Arabidopsis thaliana: one gene and its partner. The protein of the gene in region 1 interacts with the protein of each later gene in a pairwise test. Each region holds a gene or a part of one and is shown in the gene's direction. Other genes may lie near its edges.

Region 1 (5,545 bases):
AAAACTTGCTTAATTGGTGGTGTTATTTATATATACTTAATTAGGCAATTAGGTTTCAAGAAGAGGAAAAAAACGATGGGACGGAGGTGGTGAGTGGTGGTGGTCGGAGCAGACAAAGAAGGGTCCTACAATTTGCCTAACCGTAAAGAGCCACATTCCTTTTTCTTTTACCCCATCCCGTGAGTGAACCCCACTCTTCCTCATTCTATTATTCTCAATCTATATTTTCAAAAATAAACATAAATATACAAACTCTTTGCAGCATAAAGGAATATGTTGATAAAACGGAGCTTTGTTTATGATTTTGTTTCATTATGATATATTTTTTTTAAAACATTTACCAACAATTTCTTAGAAACATAAATTAAGAGCTAACTAGTATATCTAGTATTTCTCGAAACCCAAACTCATGTTCTTAATTTTTTATTTTTTTCTGGAATGTTAATGACTATCGGATATTTGAGTATAATTGTATGAATTTGCTTGACTGTTGCATACTTTGAATCTTTCTTTCTAGTTTACAATTGTGCAAATTAAATCAAACTCGTTTTCAGTATTTTACCTTTTAGTACTATACTTAATTATGTCATCTGTATCAGGTAATAGTTAGAGGAAAGAGGAAAATGGTGTAATATAAACAACAATTATTTGTATGTGAGTTTACGACCATCATCTAGCTTAAAGTACACACCAATGAGAATATGAACACAGTTTAGCTCAACTCATATATGATCTATCCGACATCTTTTCAATGTTTTGGGTCGCGTAGGAGTATCGGAAGCAGCTTAAGACATAGCTATTTAATAAATTGTTGGTATGTTTTATTTATAACAATTATCACAAAATCAAAAGATACTAATCTCGCTGTTTGAGGCAGACATCTGAGAAAACATGTCTTCTACCAACATTCAAGATTTGACAAATCGTTGTTTACGTATTGTTATATTGAGCATCTTACAACAAAAATTTACGTGTATTTTGAAACTCGGAAATCAATCATATCTATTGATATTAACACACAGTGTTTCCTGACTATCGTCGCAGACGAATAATAATAGTAATAATCTTCCACCTCGTGTGATTCTATAATCTTATATTCTTGACATAAATGTCGTCAAAATTTGGTATACATCAAACATGGATCGTGTTTAAAGTAATCATCAAAAATCACCACACGAGAGTAGATTCCCTATTGTCAAATATAGATCAAAGAGAAAACATGTAGGCTACAAATATAACCTAGTCCCTACGAATAAGAAAAATGTCATTATACCACAAATGATAACTGCAAAGTGTGTGTAAATTTTGATTTTAAAAGAAGGTAAAAAAATAAAAAAGATAGATTTGGAAACAATCTTTTACCTCTTTGGTATTGAACATTGTGACAGTATCAATCAGTATGGTACAGAAAAAACGTCAGAGGAAAAGAATTATCAAAAAACGTACACTCTTCATTTTCATTAAAATCTTTTTTTTTTCTTCCAAAAAACAAAAGCAGAAAAAATGTGTCAGAAAGATTTATGCAGCTTTCATTCATTCATCACTTGCACTGTCTCGTGAAGAAAATTAAACTTTTTTGTATCAGAAATTAATTACATTAAAAGAAAAGAAAAAAAAAATTCCCTCCTTTCCAAGTGCGTTTGCTTTGTGGAGTCTCTCTCTTCTCTCTCTCTGTCTGTGTGTGAAGTGAGAGGATCTTTGTTTGGTTCTGCAATCATAATTTCGTGATATACTAAAAAAAATGCAATTTCCTCTTCTCTCTTATAAGCAGAGACCCTACTACTCTTTGATCGAATTTTCCTTGCTCTCTTCTCTTTGTTCTCTCATGTTTTTTTCTCCCTAAATTTATGGGCTTTGCTCTCTCTCTAAGCCACACTCACACTCTAAAGCACTCGTCTTTCTTCTTCTTTTTCTTCAGAAACAGTTATTTTGACTTGAAAAACCAGAGCTTTAATCCTGGATTCATGGCAAAAAGAGCATTACTTTTCTTTTCCTCTCTCACTTTCTTGTTTCATTTGGCTTAAAAATTCAATGATAATTTTGTATTTGGGGGAAAGAAGAAGAAGAACAAGAGTGTGTGATTGATTCAATTCTTAAAAATGACATTTTGGTGTATGTCAATTCTTCTGATTGTTGGGTTCTTATCAAAATCTGAGCTTTGTGAAGCTCAACTAAGCGATGAAGCCACATTGGTTGCGATTAATAGAGAGCTTGGAGTTCCAGGATGGAGTAGTAATGGCACTGACTATTGTACTTGGGTTGGGCTTAAGTGTGGTGTCAACAACTCTTTTGTTGAAATGCTTGATCTCTCAGGGCTTCAGCTTAGAGGTAATGTTACTCTAATCTCTGACCTCAGAAGCTTAAAGCATCTAGATCTTTCTGGTAACAACTTCAATGGACGAATTCCTACTTCTTTTGGCAACTTGTCTGAGCTTGAGTTTCTTGATTTGTCTCTGAATCGTTTTGTTGGAGCGATTCCGGTTGAGTTTGGTAAGCTTAGAGGGCTTAGAGCATTCAACATTTCTAATAACTTGCTTGTTGGAGAGATACCTGATGAGCTTAAGGTTCTAGAGAGGTTAGAGGAGTTTCAGGTCTCTGGAAATGGGTTAAATGGTTCTATACCTCACTGGGTAGGGAATCTGAGCAGTCTCAGGGTGTTTACAGCTTATGAGAATGATTTGGTGGGTGAGATACCGAATGGGTTAGGTTTGGTTTCTGAGTTGGAATTGTTGAATCTTCACTCAAACCAACTTGAGGGGAAGATTCCAAAAGGGATTTTTGAGAAAGGGAAGCTTAAAGTTTTGGTCTTGACACAGAATAGATTGACCGGTGAACTCCCTGAAGCAGTAGGAATCTGCAGCGGCCTCTCGAGCATTAGAATTGGGAATAACGAGCTTGTGGGAGTCATTCCGAGGACAATCGGGAACATTAGTGGACTTACTTACTTTGAAGCAGACAAGAACAATCTTTCAGGTGAGATTGTTGCAGAGTTCTCCAAGTGTTCTAATCTCACTCTGCTGAATCTGGCAGCTAATGGGTTCGCTGGAACCATTCCAACAGAGCTTGGTCAGCTCATTAATCTTCAAGAACTGATTCTCTCAGGTAATAGTCTCTTTGGGGAGATCCCTAAGTCGTTTCTTGGAAGTGGAAACCTAAACAAGCTTGATTTGAGTAACAACAGACTCAACGGAACCATCCCAAAGGAACTCTGCAGCATGCCAAGGCTACAGTATTTACTTCTTGATCAAAATTCCATAAGAGGAGACATACCTCATGAGATTGGAAACTGTGTGAAGCTACTTCAGCTCCAACTGGGTCGAAATTACTTGACGGGAACCATTCCTCCTGAGATTGGTCGCATGAGGAATTTGCAGATAGCACTCAACTTAAGTTTCAACCATCTTCATGGATCATTGCCTCCCGAGTTAGGAAAACTCGACAAGCTCGTGTCATTGGATGTCTCTAACAATTTGCTCACAGGATCCATACCGCCACTACTAAAAGGTATGATGAGTTTGATCGAGGTTAATTTCTCAAACAACCTTTTGAATGGTCCAGTGCCAGTCTTTGTTCCCTTTCAAAAGTCTCCAAATTCGAGCTTTTTGGGAAACAAAGAGCTTTGTGGAGCACCATTGAGCTCTTCTTGTGGATATTCTGAAGATCTTGACCATTTGAGATATAATCACAGAGTCTCCTACAGAATTGTGCTCGCAGTGATTGGTTCTGGTGTAGCTGTCTTTGTATCAGTCACTGTGGTTGTTCTTCTCTTCATGATGAGGGAGAAACAAGAGAAAGCAGCGGCTAAAAATGTTGATGTTGAAGAAAATGTTGAGGATGAGCAACCAGCAATTATCGCGGGAAATGTCTTCCTTGAAAATCTTAAACAAGGAATTGATCTTGATGCAGTTGTGAAAGCAACTATGAAGGAGTCAAATAAACTCAGTACGGGAACTTTCAGTTCAGTTTATAAAGCCGTTATGCCTTCGGGGATGATTGTTTCGGTGAAGAAACTCAAGTCTATGGATAGAGCCATATCTCATCATCAGAACAAGATGATCAGAGAACTCGAAAGACTCAGCAAACTTTGCCATGACCATTTGGTTAGACCGATAGGGTTTGTTATATACGAAGACGTTGCTCTCTTGTTGCATCAGCATTTACCTAATGGTAACTTAACTCAGCTGATTCATGAGTCCACCAAGAAACCAGAGTACCAACCTGACTGGCCAATGAGACTGTCCATAGCTGTTGGAGCAGCAGAAGGTTTAGCATTTCTCCACCAAGTCGCCATCATTCACCTCGACGTTTCCTCTAGCAACGTCTTGCTAGACTCTGGTTACAAAGCCGTGCTTGGGGAAATCGAAATATCGAAACTTCTAGATCCCTCTAGAGGCACCGCGAGTATTAGCTCAGTTGCAGGCTCTTTTGGCTACATTCCACCAGGTATAAAGTCTTAATTTTGTTACCAGTAACTTTATACAAAATCCAACACTTTCCCTTGGTTTATTTCTGCAGAGTATGCATACACAATGCAAGTTACAGCTCCGGGGAATGTTTACAGTTATGGAGTTGTGTTGCTTGAGATTCTAACCTCAAGAGCGCCGGTGGAGGAAGAGTTTGGTGAAGGAGTAGATTTGGTGAAATGGGTCCATGGAGCTTCAGCGAGAGGAGAAACACCGGAACAGATACTCGATGCCAAGCTTAGCACCGTGTCTTTTGCTTGGAGGAGAGAGATGCTTGCAGCTCTGAAAGTTGCATTGCTTTGCACAGACATCACACCTGCAAAAAGGCCAAAGATGAAGAAAGTAGTTGAAATGCTTCAAGAGGTTAAGCAAATCAAATGAGCAAATGAATATATAGTTTCCTCTTGTGACATTCATATACAAAAGAAAACGCATTCCTATATATGCGAGCTTCTCCTCTGTGTATTATATAGGTTTTTATGATAAAATTGATCCGCTTATGGTTGATTTACTTATCCAATGACACAAATTATAAATTAGATCATAGAAGAACCAATGTACATCTTGAGGGAAACTGTTCAACAAAGCATCTGTTGTAGAATCTTAAGATTACAATACCATGTGAAAACCAGATGGCCTCTTTCAATTTTTTACACATCACACCAAAAAGAAACAAGAATTGGACAAAAGAATAAGTGAAAAGAGAAGATAGGAGTAAAAACCTAGGAGGAATGATCTAATTATAGCACGACGGAGATAATTCCGATTTATGATGCTAAAGAATCTATAAAAACGTAACCCAAGACTTTGAAAACCAAGCAAACCTATTTTTGTTATGTTTTGTTTGAGTTCTTGACTGGAATTCAAAGCCAAACATGGTTTGGATCCTGCCGATGATCAACAGCCAGCAGCTTTAAGGAAGTTGTCGTAAGGGCTTGAGGCTGGTAGTCTAAATGCTTGTGGGTTATTTTGTAGTTCTGCATAGCACGGTGACTGAATAGTTCCCACTGGTGTTCTTGGCGATTTCATGTCGAATTCTTTCGACAGTAAAGGGACTTCGACCTAAACAAATTTCAGTAATC
Region 2 (6,015 bases), on another chromosome or scaffold:
TTAAACATTTACGAGATGCTAGTGCTAGCCATTCAGTTTGGTTAGTTGAAAAGAATTGGTCCAGACGTTGAACGTAGTATCCCGTGTCTTCTGCTGTTATACAGGGCAAAAAGGAATGCTTTGCTACATGTCTCTTTGTATGTTATGACTTAATCCGACCAGACGTGGCTCTAGAACTTGCCTGGATCAACAATATGATGGACTTTGCCTTCCCGTATCTCCTCCAGGTGATCTATCCTAACCCTCAAATAAACTCTTTTGATTCTCTGCTCAATGAGGTTGGAACCATTATTTGAACGCTATGATGAATTCTCTTCTTCCTGTCGTTTTTTCTTTGCAGTTTATCCGAGAGTACTCTGGCAAAGTGGATGAGCTAATAAAGGACAAGCTTGAGGCACAAAAAGAGGTGAAGGCCAAAGAGCAGGAAGAGAAGGATGTCATATCCCAACAGGTACTACTTATGACACAGCTACACTGGATATCATCCGACTCTTTATCTTGACAGATACACTTAAAGGAGTAATATGTTTTTCTTTTGTTTTTAAACAGAACATGTATGCCCAAATGTTGCCACTTGCTTTACCTGCACCACCGATGCCAGGAATGGGAGGTGGTGGTGGGTATGGTCCTCCACCACAAATGGGCGGTATGCCAGGAATGCCTCCCATGCCACCATATGGAATGCCACCGATGGGCGGCTACTAAAGCAGACCAGCTTATGCTTTAATATCCGCATTTGGAAAAGTATCAGTAGCGCATAGAGTCGGCCCAATTTGCTAGGGCGGTGTTCATCTGCTAGCTAGCTTATATGTCTGACCAGAATTTGTCTGGGAATAATGTGGATAATAACCTCCTTTCGTTGTAATATTCTGTTGGGTTTAGGTGAGTAATTTTTTTTTAACTTTTTGTCAAAAGCCATTTTTGAGTATATATACTCAACTCTCTTACTCATATGAGTTTTGTAGTTGTACTTTCCTTCAGCATTTCATTCCATTCGACTTTCGATTTATTAAACCGTTGATCAGTTTCACCTTGTTGTTATTCATATATGAAACAATTAATATCGAGAAGGACTAAATAAATCCTTCATGAGAATTTGGTTGACCTCAGAACAATCATCATCATTCATCAGCATCAGAAAGACATAGATGCAACGTGAATCTCATTTTCATGAAATAATAATGAAATCTTAGGGTAGGTTTATTTCACATGTACACATAAAAACCTAAGTACCAATAGTCATCTGAACATCATGAACTAAAAATTGCATCCCTCCGTAAACACACATTTCTGCTACATTACTAAGAAAACGTTCTGGATAGAAAGATTCAATCAACCCAACATACTTTGTTTTTATTAGTATACTTAGATGACATACAAATTCACTTGGTATTTCTAATATCAAAAGTTCAACCTTCACCAGGATAAAACTCATCCAGCGCAGACACTAACTATAGATAATCAATTAAACCAAAATGATAAGCAGATTGAAGAACTTTAAGGAGAATCAGTAACTCATAAGGATCATTCCATGTAATAAACATAATTCTAATAGAAAACATAGATTCGATTTGGTCCAACAAAACATTCAAATTGAAAATTGCAAAACCAACAAAACTCACATAAGAGTTGGTTCTAAAAAGAAGAAAGACAAAACAAACTCCCGAATCTACTTAGATCGCTGTCTCATCTTTCGTCTCTTCCTCTTCAATCTCCTCATACGCTTCTTCTTCCACTGCAACACACAAACACACAAACCATAAAGATCCTACACACTACTTCAATTTCTCATCACTAAAAAATCCATTAAACAATCAAAACCCATTACTAACCTTGGCTCTCATGCTGATTTCGCAGAAGCTGTCTCCTTCGTTCCTCTGATTATTTGTTTAGCTTTACAGGATGAGGAGCGGCGGAGATGAATAGAAAGATTTTGTAGCTTACGCTCTTATTCCTCCTTTAAACAACAACAAAACCCTAGTAACTAACTTAATGGGCTTTATTATTTCAAAAGCCCAATAAAACCCAAATGGATAAGAATTTGCCAGAGGGGATATTCGCACAGAGAGAGAAAGAAGATCTTTTTCCGACAAGGTTCAAGATCGATTAAACATTACATGGAGGAGATTCACTAGAAAGAAAGGAAAAAAATCTCTTTGTCTTTGCAGATGCGACACGCAAAACGACGATTCTGATCTCGCTTGTCTGATTTCAAAAACAATGAGAAGATAGTTCTGATTATATAACACACAAACCCTACTTCATTCCTTCATCATCGTCTCCAATCATTACCCAAAGATCCGTCTTTTTCTTTACTTCATGTCGAAGCAAACGTACAAAGTGTGTTTCTGCTTTCGCCGGAGGTTTCGTTACACTGCATCGGAGGCACCGCGTGAGATCAAGACCATTTTCGAAAAGTACTCAGAGAATGGAGTTATGACCGTTGATCATCTCCACAGGTTTCTGATCGATGTTCAGAAACAAGATAAAGCCACCAGAGAAGATGCACAGTCAATTATCAATTCTGCATCTTCTCTTCTTCATCGTAATGGTCTCCATCTTGATGCTTTCTTCAAGTACCTCTTTGGTGATAATAACCCTCCTCTTGCTCTCCATAAGGTAATTTTCGTGTTATTTCGATTTTATGAGTTCAGAATCTGAAGTAAACTATGATTGATTGATATAAGAAACTCAGATTTTGGATTGGGATTTTTCGTTTTCCTTGTTTGGTAATTGAGGAAATGGTGTGAGGAAGTGAGATTTTTGGAATAATTTGTTTGAATGTTTCACTGAGTCTAATCAAGAGTTCGAACTTCGAAGCTGCTGTTTGGTAGAAAGTCGTAGGAGCTATGTACTTTTTAGGTGTTGTGGAATAAGTCTGATTCAAGAATTTGAAGCAATAGAATTGTTTTTCTTTTTATGTCTCAAAAAAAAAAAAAAAGTTGAGAAAGTAACATATCTAGGAATGTGACATTTACTCTATTAGGAACTCTGACACAAAAATCCATGATACAAGTAATTAATATTTTTACAATTCCGGCTATACATGTAATTGTGACTCAATTGTGCTAGCTTTTATTTTCAGATTGATTATAGACTTATCTCTAATGAATTTGTGGTGTTTCAGGTGCATCATGACATGGATGCTCCTATATCGCATTATTTCATATTCACTGGTCATAATTCTTATCTGACTGGTAATCAGCTGAGCAGTGACTGTAGTGAGGTACCTATTATTGATGCGTTGAAGAAAGGTGTTAGAGTCATTGAATTGGATATATGGCCCAATTCCAACAAAGACGATATTGATGTTCTTCACGGAATGTATAATTTTGCTTCAAATTTATTTCGAAAAACAAGTCAAGGTTAGGTGCTTGGCGTTTAACTTGTTTACTGAACCATTCTTAAACAGGACTCTCACTACACCTGTGGGGTTGATCAAATGTCTCAAAGCTATCAGAGCACATGCCTTTGATGTATCTGACTATCCTGTTGTTGTAACTCTTGAAGATCATCTTACTCCAGATCTTCAGTCTAAAGTTGCTGAGGTAGCTTTTTATTTTGCATTTCTTTCTTTGCTGCTTTAATAGATGAGTACATTGGTTTTGAGATGTGTTTTCTTGTTGTATGATAGATGGTTACTGAGATATTTGGGGAAATTCTGTTTACTCCTCCTGTGGGAGAATCTTTGAAGGAGTTCCCATCGCCAAACTCTTTAAAAAGACGTATTATCATCTCAACCAAACCCCCAAAAGAGTACAAGGAAGGAAAAGATGTGGAAGTGGTGCAGAAAGGTAAAGACTTGGGGGATGAAGAAGTTTGGGGAAGAGAAGTTCCGAGCTTTATTCAGAGGAACAAAAGTGAAGCTAAGGTGTGTACGAAGACAAATCATTTTCATTCTGTTCTGTTGCTGTTCATGGACAAACATGTTAGTTTTCTTTCTTGTTGCAGGATGACTTAGATGGAAATGATGATGATGACGATGATGATGATGAAGACAAGTCTAAGATTAATGCACCACCCCAGTATAAACATTTGATTGCAATCCATGCTGGGAAACCAAAAGGCGGAATTACTGAGTGTTTAAAGGTAGATCCTGACAAGGTTAGACGCCTTAGCTTAAGCGAAGAACAACTTGAAAAGGCAGCAGAAAAATATGCGAAGCAGATTGTGAGGTATAGTCATATTATGTTTTTATGTTTCTAAGTAATAGTTGCAGTTTGTCAACTCAATATGAATCCTGTTAATCATGGTGTGGCGCAGGTTTACTCAGCACAATTTGCTGAGGATATACCCAAAAGGAACTAGAGTCACATCATCAAATTACAACCCGTTGGTTGGCTGGAGCCACGGTGCTCAAATGGTGGCTTTCAATATGCAGGTATCTCCTTCTGCTATATTACCAACTTCTTTCTACGTAGTAGTAAAACTTCTAGTTATTTTGGAGGAGCTATGTTCCATCATTTTACAGGACATCAACCTTATTCCTCAGCTGATTTGATTGTGATCTTTTTCCATGTACAGGGGTATGGAAGATCATTGTGGCTAATGCAGGGAATGTTTAGAGCCAATGGCGGATGTGGCTACATCAAGAAACCTGACCTTCTGCTGAAAAGTGGTTCGGATAGTGACATATTTGACCCAAAAGCTACTCTACCTGTGAAAACAACACTTAGGGTGAGATATCTGATTCTCTGGTTGGTCTTTCTTTTACCAATTCAAATCCGATCAAACTCAGTGAACTTATTCTTTCCCTTAGGTAACTGTATACATGGGAGAAGGCTGGTACTTTGATTTCCGCCACACACACTTTGACCAATATTCACCGCCTGACTTCTATACAAGGGTCAATTTTTGATTCCCTGCCTTAAACCTCACACAAATGTTTTGAGATAGAACTGTTTCTTGTCTCTTATGCTTGCAATATAACAATTTGAGCTTTTGATGCATATTCAGGTTGGGATAGCTGGAGTTCCAGGGGATACAGTAATGAAGAAGACGAAAACACTGGAGGATAATTGGATACCAGCTTGGGATGAGGTGTTTGAGTTCCCATTAACCGTTCCAGAGCTGGCCCTGCTACGATTAGAAGTGCATGAGTATGACATGTCAGAGAAAGATGATTTTGGAGGACAGACATGCTTACCGGTTTGGGAGCTAAGCGAAGGAATAAGAGCATTTCCTTTACATAGCCGGAAAGGAGAGAAGTACAAATCCGTTAAGCTTCTCGTGAAGGTGGAGTTTGTGTGAGACATGATTAAGAAAGATACAGCATTTAAACTTGTCTGGTAGGTTTGAGTGCCACAGAGTTTGTGAATTTGGAGGATTTGTATGTGTGAGAGAGAATGTATGCTTGATTTGTTGTTTGTAATATTATGTACATAAAAGACGAAAGTGAGAGAGAGAGAGACGGTCTTGTATCGTGTGTTGTTGTATTATTATGTAGTAGTCTCGTGTAACACTTGAATCGTATGATGATTTGTGGTTTTTGTGTAACAAGTGTGTTTTAAAACTTGTTTGATTCCATTCCACCAAGAAGGCTTCAAAGAATTTTCTTATGTATCACATAAAACTGATCGAATTTCCATAAACATAACCAATCACACCCCATAAAACAAAATTGGCCAAAAAGAAAAGAGAAAGGATATTTTAGTAAATGAAAGAGAGAGGTGGTGGTGGAGGTGGAGGAAGCGCGCTCTATCTCAAAAACGTTGGGGTCTGCTTGGTCCTCAACAATTGAAAACCGTACAAATTCAATTTCTTCACATAAAGCTCTCTCTTCCTTCTCCATTCTTCCACCCTTTTTTTTCTTCTCTCCGCACAAATCCCCAAATGTCCGATAGGTATCGTAATCCCCCAACTTCTCGATTCATCAAACTCTTCAATTTTGTGTCTCTTTGATTGGTGATAAAGATTGATTCTTTCGTTTCTGGGGACGATGATTCATTTGATTTCTTTTTTGTAGGATACTGTGCAAGTTCTTTGTCCATGGCTCGTGCTTGAAAGGCGAAAATT

The links. The genes of interacting proteins can lie anywhere in the genome.
Region 2: the proteins of AT2G41820 (region 1) and PLC2 interact in a protein complementation assay, tested with the Arabidopsis thaliana proteins (one large-scale study listed by BioGRID).

The regions. Positions count from the first base shown.
Region 1 is NC_003071.7:17,445,071-17,450,615, forward strand, and holds AT2G41820 (Leucine-rich repeat protein kinase family protein), read left to right. Parts: upstream 1-1,673; 5' UTR 1,674-2,099; coding exon 2,100-4,443; intron 4,444-4,515; coding exon 4,516-4,844; 3' UTR 4,845-5,038; downstream 5,039-5,545. Other genes in the region: AT2G41830 (Uncharacterized protein), read right to left, coding at 5,361-5,525. UniProt on the Arabidopsis thaliana protein: Leucine-rich repeat receptor-like protein kinase that may play a role in vascular tissues development.
Region 2 is NC_003074.8:2,581,861-2,587,875, reverse strand, and holds PLC2 (phospholipase C 2), read left to right. Parts: upstream 1-1,977; 5' UTR 1,978-2,319; coding exon 2,320-2,619; intron 2,620-3,127; coding exon 3,128-3,324; intron 3,325-3,412; coding exon 3,413-3,548; intron 3,549-3,634; coding exon 3,635-3,871; intron 3,872-3,951; coding exon 3,952-4,175; intron 4,176-4,263; coding exon 4,264-4,381; intron 4,382-4,524; coding exon 4,525-4,677; intron 4,678-4,759; coding exon 4,760-4,846; intron 4,847-4,956; coding exon 4,957-5,250; 3' UTR 5,251-5,514; downstream 5,515-6,015. Other genes in the region: AT3G08530 (Clathrin, heavy chain), read left to right, coding at 105-227, 341-451, 550-705; AT3G08520 (Ribosomal protein L41 family), read right to left, coding at 1,670-1,735, 1,833-1,844; AT3G08505 (zinc finger (CCCH-type/C3HC4-type RING finger) family protein), read left to right, coding at 5,833-5,843, 5,966-6,015. UniProt on the Arabidopsis thaliana protein: The production of the second messenger molecules diacylglycerol (DAG) and inositol 1,4,5-trisphosphate (IP3) is mediated by activated phosphatidylinositol-specific phospholipase C enzymes.